2 linked regions of the Drosophila melanogaster genome follow. The protein of the gene in region 2 purifies or fractionates together with the protein of the main gene of each other region. This does not show direct contact. Each region holds a gene or a part of one and is shown on either strand. Other genes may lie near its edges. The genes, in order: Doc2 and Arc1.

The links.
Region 1: the proteins of Arc1 (region 2) and Doc2 purify together in Drosophila melanogaster (affinity purification with mass spectrometry, with the first as the bait; one large-scale study listed by BioGRID). This does not show direct contact.

What each region holds. Positions count from the first base shown.
Region 1 is NT_037436.4:9,017,410-9,021,334, forward strand, and holds the start of Doc2 (Dorsocross2), read right to left. Parts: upstream 1,838-3,925; 5' UTR 1,483-1,837; coding exon 1,392-1,482; intron 677-1,391; coding exon 520-676; intron 1-519.
Region 2 is NT_033778.4:14,358,157-14,362,081, reverse strand, and holds the start of Arc1 (Activity-regulated cytoskeleton associated protein 1), read left to right. Parts: upstream 1-1,784; 5' UTR 1,785-1,881; coding exon 1,882-2,646; 3' UTR 2,647-3,925. Other genes in the region: Arc2 (Activity-regulated cytoskeleton associated protein 2), read right to left, coding at 1-42.

The sequences.
Region 1 (3,925 bases), on a different chromosome or scaffold from region 2:
CAAAGTGCCGGCGAACTTGTTCGCTTTACGCCTCGTGCGATAGCCGATGTCCAGTGCGCATCAATTTTGGCTGAACCTGCAACCGCTTTTCCATTTCCCGATTTTCAATTTTCAATTTTCGATTTTCACATCCTGCCGACGTAAGTGCATCCTTCCGCCTTGTTTGCCTGTGAAAATCGTTGTCGCGACGCCGCTGTAAACAATTTGCAGGCGCCTGCATCTAATGAGCCTTTAACAGCAGCACATCCTCGCTGGACTCTACTGAATCGGATCGGAATCGGGATCGGGCCAGGGATCGGGCTAGGGATCGTTATAGGGTGCTTTAAGTGCCCGCGCCCGTTGGCTGGTTTATTATTCTTTGCCCTGCGTCTGGGGTATTAGTTTTCATGTTCGTGCTAATGCATCGCTACATCTATGTTTGTTCCCGATCTCTAAAGTCTGTATATCTCGAGATTCCCCCACTCTTGGTTTTTCATCATTTTCATCATCAAAGATCTTTTCTCTCTGTTCTAAACCTACCTGCCACTCTTGGTGATGATCATTTCCGTGCCAATTTGATGGAACTGCTTCCATAGATCGTCGTTCTGCAGGGTCATCTCCACGCCGGGCAACGTGACTCGAGGTGGCATGATCACGTGCCGTGGCATCGGAATTGGCAGCATCGGCGGAAACGGATCTGAAAAGAACAATAATCAATAGGGGGCTTATAGGTTAACAAAAGCTCAAGCAATCTAACAAACTACTTAGTCTTCAACAAAGAAAATTAAGAATTATTGAAATTATGTAAACATATTAACATGGTATTTGGCTAAAATGAAACCCATTCAAATAACTTAATAGTCGCCATTAGTTTAAGAGCGTGGGTCTGAATTAAAGTGTGACATTTCTGACTTATCCAAAGAGATCTTACGGCATAAATCCATATGATGACTGACATATTTGTCATAAAAACAAACGAACAAACATGGGGTTATATAAAAACGCTTATTTGGCGAACGAGGAACACCGATTCTTTCCCGATTACCAAACTTAATGCCCTCCATCTGGTATCCACAAAATAAGGAGCGATACTTTGGCAAACAACGATTTTGTTTTAGGGGTACGCTGATCCCGAAATTTAACGACCGTCGGCAACAAGAAAAATGCATTTGATATCAAGTTTCTCGATCGGCGATCACTTTCCCACATTACTCAGCTTTATGATCCGCTGGCCATAAACACCGCTACTCGCACACACCCCGCTGATCTTGGCCAACTTTGGTGGGCTGAGACAGTAACAGAAACAAAAGCAGTTTGCCAAAAGTTACGACCATTAATGCTAATGATGGCTAACAGCTTTGCCGCACGCGTAACGGGGCGGATGAGTGATATGAAGGGGGCAAGCAGTTTACCTGGTATGCGCTGCATGATCTGCTGGCGATAGATCTCGTGTGCTATGTGCTGCTGCATGCGCAGATCCACCAGCTCGTTCATGGTGATCATGATGTGTTGGGTCCAAAAATAGTACTAAATCTTTGCCCGAAACTTCTTTGTTTGGCGTTTGTCACTTGCACAATTGTTCCCCAGCACACAAAAAGCACTGTCACAACATATGGCGGTGTCTATTTTTTTGGAGCCCGGGTTTACTTTTTAGCCGAGCACGAGACGCCGCCGATTAGCGTCAATTATGCAAATCACGGCACACAAAAGTCTCTCATGTGCGTGGGTGTTAATTTGATTAGGCCCGGTGTCGCGTACGTGGGTTATTATTTTACCACAAATATATTGAGAGAATTTTTTGTATCTTTGGGCGACGGTCGTGTCTTGAGCTCGCCAAGTTCGCATTTCAACTGAGCAAGTTCCGCTGGCAGAGCGATCTCTCGATCGAGCTGAATGGAACGAGCTTGACTCGTTTCCGTCTTGAGCCATTGATCGAGATTACCTGCTGCTCACCATCGATTGGCTGTGGCAGTGTACGGAGTGCGGGAGCTAGCCGTCCCGCTCTGGTTTGGCACCTCCATTTTGAAAAATCCTCTCGATTTTCCAGATGCCATGGCTCCGCCCACGAAGCGCTGACTATCACTCTCTCTCTCTCTCTCTCTTCACATTGTGCCAGCTCGCTCTAATTGCGTTTAATTCTGAAGTGCGAAGTTGCACAGTCAGCGGAGGAGCAGCAACATGTTGCTTCTGGGTCCATTCGCTATGTGTGTGTGCGCTGGCTGGCTGCCTTTTAATTATGATCATGATGATTGAAATTGTTTTTTCTCCGTCTCCGCTTTTTGGCATCTTTTTGTGTATTTATGCTTTGCCCATTTGTAGCCGCTGCCATCACCATCACCATCATGGTGGTCCTCTTGTCTGGCCTCTCCAAGCCGTGTGTGTTTGTCGTTTTGCTGATCATTTATTACATTTTACCCGGCGCACTACAGAGAAAAGAATTTATTGATGCTGTTTGAACAGCAATTTGATGGTTTTTTATTGAAAAATATTTACTCTTGGTGTGTTTGGCAGCGTATTGTATAAGATATTGATCTAAGTATCAGTAAAAGTTCCAATCACTTACTTTAAAGTACCTTGTTTACCTGTTGGCGGATTGATGTTGGATGAAATTGCTTGGTCATCGTTGCAATAGTTTTTTTTTATACACATTTTAGAGTTTATCAGTAGAGAAGAATTGGTAAATAGTTTAATTAATTAATATATTGGGGCCCATTATACAATAATCTTTACTTTTTAATTAAACGAATAACACTTTAATGCAGTTTTCTCTGTGTAATTATATGTTATTTCGACTTTGACGCTGCGTCATTCAGGCATTGATATGGCGGCATCCAAAGGCCCGATATGGCGTCTCCACTTGCTGGTACACGAATATCTATAGGCTATAGTCTAGTCTACAGATATTGCCGGCGATGCAGGTGATCACTGTTTGTGGATCTGACCTTTTAGAGAGCTTGGCAAAACATTTGTTTCAAACGACGGAAACGCGTGTCGGAGCTGCTTGCTAACAAATTCGAAACTAATTAAGGCCCAATGAGGTGGTCTGAACTTTGACTGAAGTTAAGCATACGCCATGTGGGCCGACGATGGCGAAACGTGCTCGGTTTTTAATGTGTTGTTTTCTTTTTTTTTTTTTTGCCAACGACTAGTCTCGTGTTTGCCTCCAGTGCCACTTCCTTTCAAGTTTAAGACAATCGCTTGGCTTATCTGAACAGCATTACTGCGAAATTCCTGAGGCTCTCGATGGGTAAATATGTAGTTAGCCGAGCTAATTTACACAGCACTTTGCTGGCCTGACACATCCACGCATTATTTTCCTATGGATATGGCCATAGCCACAGTTGGCGGCGATAAGCGTCTGAAATTAATTTACTATTAGCAGGCCATTTCGCCCAAATTGCGTTCTGGCCACGTATGAATGTATGCGCCGTCTGACCATAATTTATGCCTCGCGTTTTCACATTTGGTCGCGCTCATTTCCGGTTGCGTTTTCCGTTCTGCCGTCTTTCAGCTCGACTACGTTCGTCAAACCATTAGACATCGATCCTGTAGAGCCTCTAAAGGGTCTGCCCTTTCAGACCATGCCAATAGCTGTGCAATTTGTCAGCACCCAGCTAATTGGTGCTGCCCCTGTGCCTGCTGTCTGACTAATGCATTTCGGTTTACTTCCGTTCGGTTCCGGATAAATGGGCCAACAGGTAGCAAATGATGCACTCGAAGAACTGCTAGTTGAGCAAGTAGTGTTTGCAATAATTAAAATACCTGCAGTTAGTTCGTTTTGCATGGGTTTCAGTCATCAAAGTATGGAGAAGCAAATTAAGCAAAAATTTCATTGAGTTCAGATAGATGGTCTTATCTATGACACATAGTCAAAGGAATTTTTGATTATTTTACTAGAGTGATAGTATTTCTCTGAGTGTACTTGCATTCCTGCCGCTTATCAATG
Region 2 (3,925 bases):
TTCTATGAATATGCGAAACTGTTCGTCGGACATCTGCGTCATTTTGTTGCCGGTTTCTTGGGTTTGTTTGGGTTTAAAAAATGAGTAAACAAGCGCCCGAAATAGACCAGCTCAATTCCGATTTCAAGCCCCAATCGTTAGACGGTTGGGGGGCAACTGGCAATTTCGCTTGTTGTGAAATGAAAAGCCACATTGCTCTCCTCCCTCTCTCTTTCTCCGTAAGTAAAAGCTTTTTCGAGTTTCGAAAAATATCCAACACTCTCTCTCTCTTCAACATTTTTGAATAATTGGAGAGCACAGTTTGTGGCGGTTCCTCCGCAAGGAGGCCACCACGTGGAAGGAAGCCATCGCTCTCATCCGCGAACACTTCTCGCCCACCAAGCCCGCCTACCAGATCTACATGGACTTCTTCCAAAACAAGCAGGACGACCATGACCCCATTGACACCTTCGTCATCCAGAAGCGAGCGCTGCTGGCCCAGCTGCCCAGCGGTCGCCACGACGAGGAAACGGAACTGGATCTTCTGTTCGGTCTGCTGAACATCAAGTACCGCAAGCACATCTCCCGCCACAGTGTCCATACCTTCAAGGATCTCCTGGAACAGGGCCGCATCATCGAGCACAACAACCAGGAGGACGAGGAACAGCTTGCCACAGCAAAGAACACCCGTGGCTCCAAGCGCACCACCCGCTGCACCTACTGCAGTTTCCGGGGGCACACCTTCGACAACTGCCGTAAGCGCCAGAAGGATCGGCAGGAGGAGCAGCACGAGGAGTAGGCGACAAAAAGAACATCAAATACCAACAGGCAGCAGCCAACGTCATTGATGACCTCATCGCTGCTGCCGCCCACCCAAACAGAACTTTTCGTAGCCTCGCCAGCCGATCGACGTCAGAGAGAGCCCAACAACCGGAGAGCTGGAGATGGGGAGCAGCCACATCAACAGCAGCAACAGCAGCCACATCTCTTCATACTCTTCATACTCACTGGCAATCGGCGTGCCGGTAAGCCTCGACTAGCTTCTGAAATCCACAAATCCACGCTGTTTGTATTGCTATTCGCAATGCCTCGAAAACGGCTCTATTTTCATATAATTTCACGCCGACTTGCGGCTACTTTGGCACAGAACGCCAGCTTTTGGAAAGCAATAATTTTTATTGCAACATTGAACCTTTATTTGCAACTAGAAACTAGATTTCGAGAATCATCGGGCGGGGCGGCTGAGGATCTGGCATTTCGTCCGTAAGATCGGTTATTCGCAATGGAGGAATATGATATTCGAACCAAATGGCGGGTGAAGTGCCTCGGCATGGAGCTCCATTTTCTTCGAATCTTATGTTTTGACATTGCGAGTCTGAAATGGATGTTGCCTGATCTCCAGCCGCCCCGCACAACCGTTGATTCTCACAACCGCCGGCTCCACTTTGTGCCGGTCAGCGGAGAAAAAGCGATTATTTGGCTATCAAAAGATATGATCACTGTGTTGAGAGACATGGCAATCATCGCTATTGTAACCATATATTTGCTGATTTTTCGTCTGATCCTGGTCCTTTGTGAAGCTAGCAAAAAACCCCCCGCCCGGTGAATGCCCACTTAGATCCTTTTGCAGGAGGATTTCGACGGCCCTGAAGGTGGGCGCCACCCGTTTCGTGATGATTCACTCTGAGCAATAATACCAAAAACATAGACCTTCCCTCTCTTATTGGCTCTCCCCAATGCCTCAAGCTTTTTCGAAGTTCGATTTCACAACAGGCGGATATAAAAGGGCTGCAATGTGGGAGAGCTGTTCAGTTCAAATCACCGGCCGCATTCGCTACACTGGCTTTGTCCGCCGACTGAACCAAGATTAATTTGATCACCTAACCTCACACAGCAGCGAAAATGGCCCAGCTTACACAGATGACCAACGAGCAGCTCCGCGAGCTGATCGAAGCTGTAAGAGCGGCCGCCGTGGGCGCCGCCGGAAGTGCAGCAGCAGCCGGAGGAGCAGACGCCAGCAGAGGCAAAGGCAACTTCTCCGCTTGCACACACAGCTTCGGCGGAACCCGCGACCACGACGTGGTCGAGGAGTTCATCGGCAACATCGAGACATACAAGGATGTAGAAGGTATCAGCGACGAGAACGCCCTGAAGGGCATCTCGCTGCTGTTCTACGGTATGGCCAGCACCTGGTGGCAAGGCGTCCGCAAGGAGGCCACCACGTGGAAGGAAGCCATCGCTCTCATCCGCGAACACTTCTCGCCCACCAAGCCCGCCTACCAGATCTACATGGAATTCTTCCAAAACAAGCAGGACGACCATGACCCCATTGACACCTTCGTCATCCAGAAGCGAGCGCTGCTGGCCCAGCTGCCCAGCGGTCGCCACGACGAGGAAACGGAACTGGATCTTCTGTTCGGTCTGCTGAACATCAAGTACCGCAAGCACATCTCCCGCCACAGTGTCCATACCTTCAAGGATCTCCTGGAACAGGGCCGCATCATCGAGCACAACAACCAGGAGGACGAGGAACAGCTTGCCACAGCAAAGAACACCCGTGGCTCCAAGCGCACCACCCGCTGCACCTACTGCAGTTTCCGGGGGCACACCTTCGACAACTGCCGTAAGCGCCAGAAGGATCGGCAGGAGGAGCAGCACGAGGAGTAGGCGACAAAAAGAACATCAAATACCAACAGGCAGCAGCCAACGTCATTGATGACCTCATCGCTGCTGCCGCCCACCCAAACAGAACTTTTCGTAGCCTCGCCAGCCGATCGACGTCAGAGAGAGCCCAACAACCGGAGAGCTGGAGATGGGGAGCAGCCACATCAACAGCAGCAACAGCAGCCACATCTCTTCATACTCTTCATACTCACTGGCAATCGGCGTGCCGGTAAGCCTCGACTAGCTTCTGAAATCCACAAATCCACGCTGTTTGTATTGCTATTCGCAATGCCTCGAAAACGGCTCTATTTTCATATAATTTCACGCCGACTTGCGGCTACTTTGGCACAGAACGCCAGCTTTTGGAAAGCAATAATTTTTATTGCAACATTGAACCTTTATTTGCAACTAGAAACTAGATTTCGAGAATCATCGGGCGGGGCGGCTGAGGATCTGGCATTTCGTCCGTAAGATCGGTTATTCGCAATGGAGGAATATGATATTCGAACCAAATGGCGGGTGAAGTGCCTCGGCATGGAGCTCCATTTTCTTCGAATCTTATGTTTTGACATTGCGAGTCTGAAATGGATGTTGCCTGATCTCCAGCCGCCCCGCACAACCGTTGATTCTCACAACCGCCGGCTCCACTTTGTGCCGGTCAGCGGAGAAAAAGCGATTATTTGGCTATCAAAAGATATGATCACTGTGTTGAGAGACATGGCAATCATCGCTATTGTAACCATATATTTGCTGATTTTTCGTCTGATCCTGGTCCTTTGTGAAGCTAGCAAAAAACCCCCCGCCCGGTGAATGCCCACTTAGATCCTTTTGCAGGAGGATTTCGACGGCCCTGAAGGTGGGCGCCACCCGTTTCCGGTAGCGGCTTCGGCTGCTTCCGGTTTCCGGTGTCGCAACCCTTCGCGATGTCCCCCGTGCGAGTGGAGCTACAGTGGGCGTGAGCCGGGCAAAACCTAAATTTCTTCGGAGATTTAAAAAACCAACAAATTTTTTGACTTTTGTCAAAACAATTCGAACCCACATAGCACTACGATGGCTAACGATTCGCCATCCGTGCGGTTGGCACGCCAAAACTGTCTCTTCGAGATCACGGGCCTAGGGCTGTTTAACATTCGACCCAAGCGATTTCGCGACAGGCTTCGGCACGCCAGTATATAACCCAAAACACACAAACGTCAGGGGCTGGAACGCGTCACTGCCGTGCTCCTCCAGCCGGCACAGTCATTCCCCGCCCCCACACCAAGCAAAACCGGCCGCTTGTGCA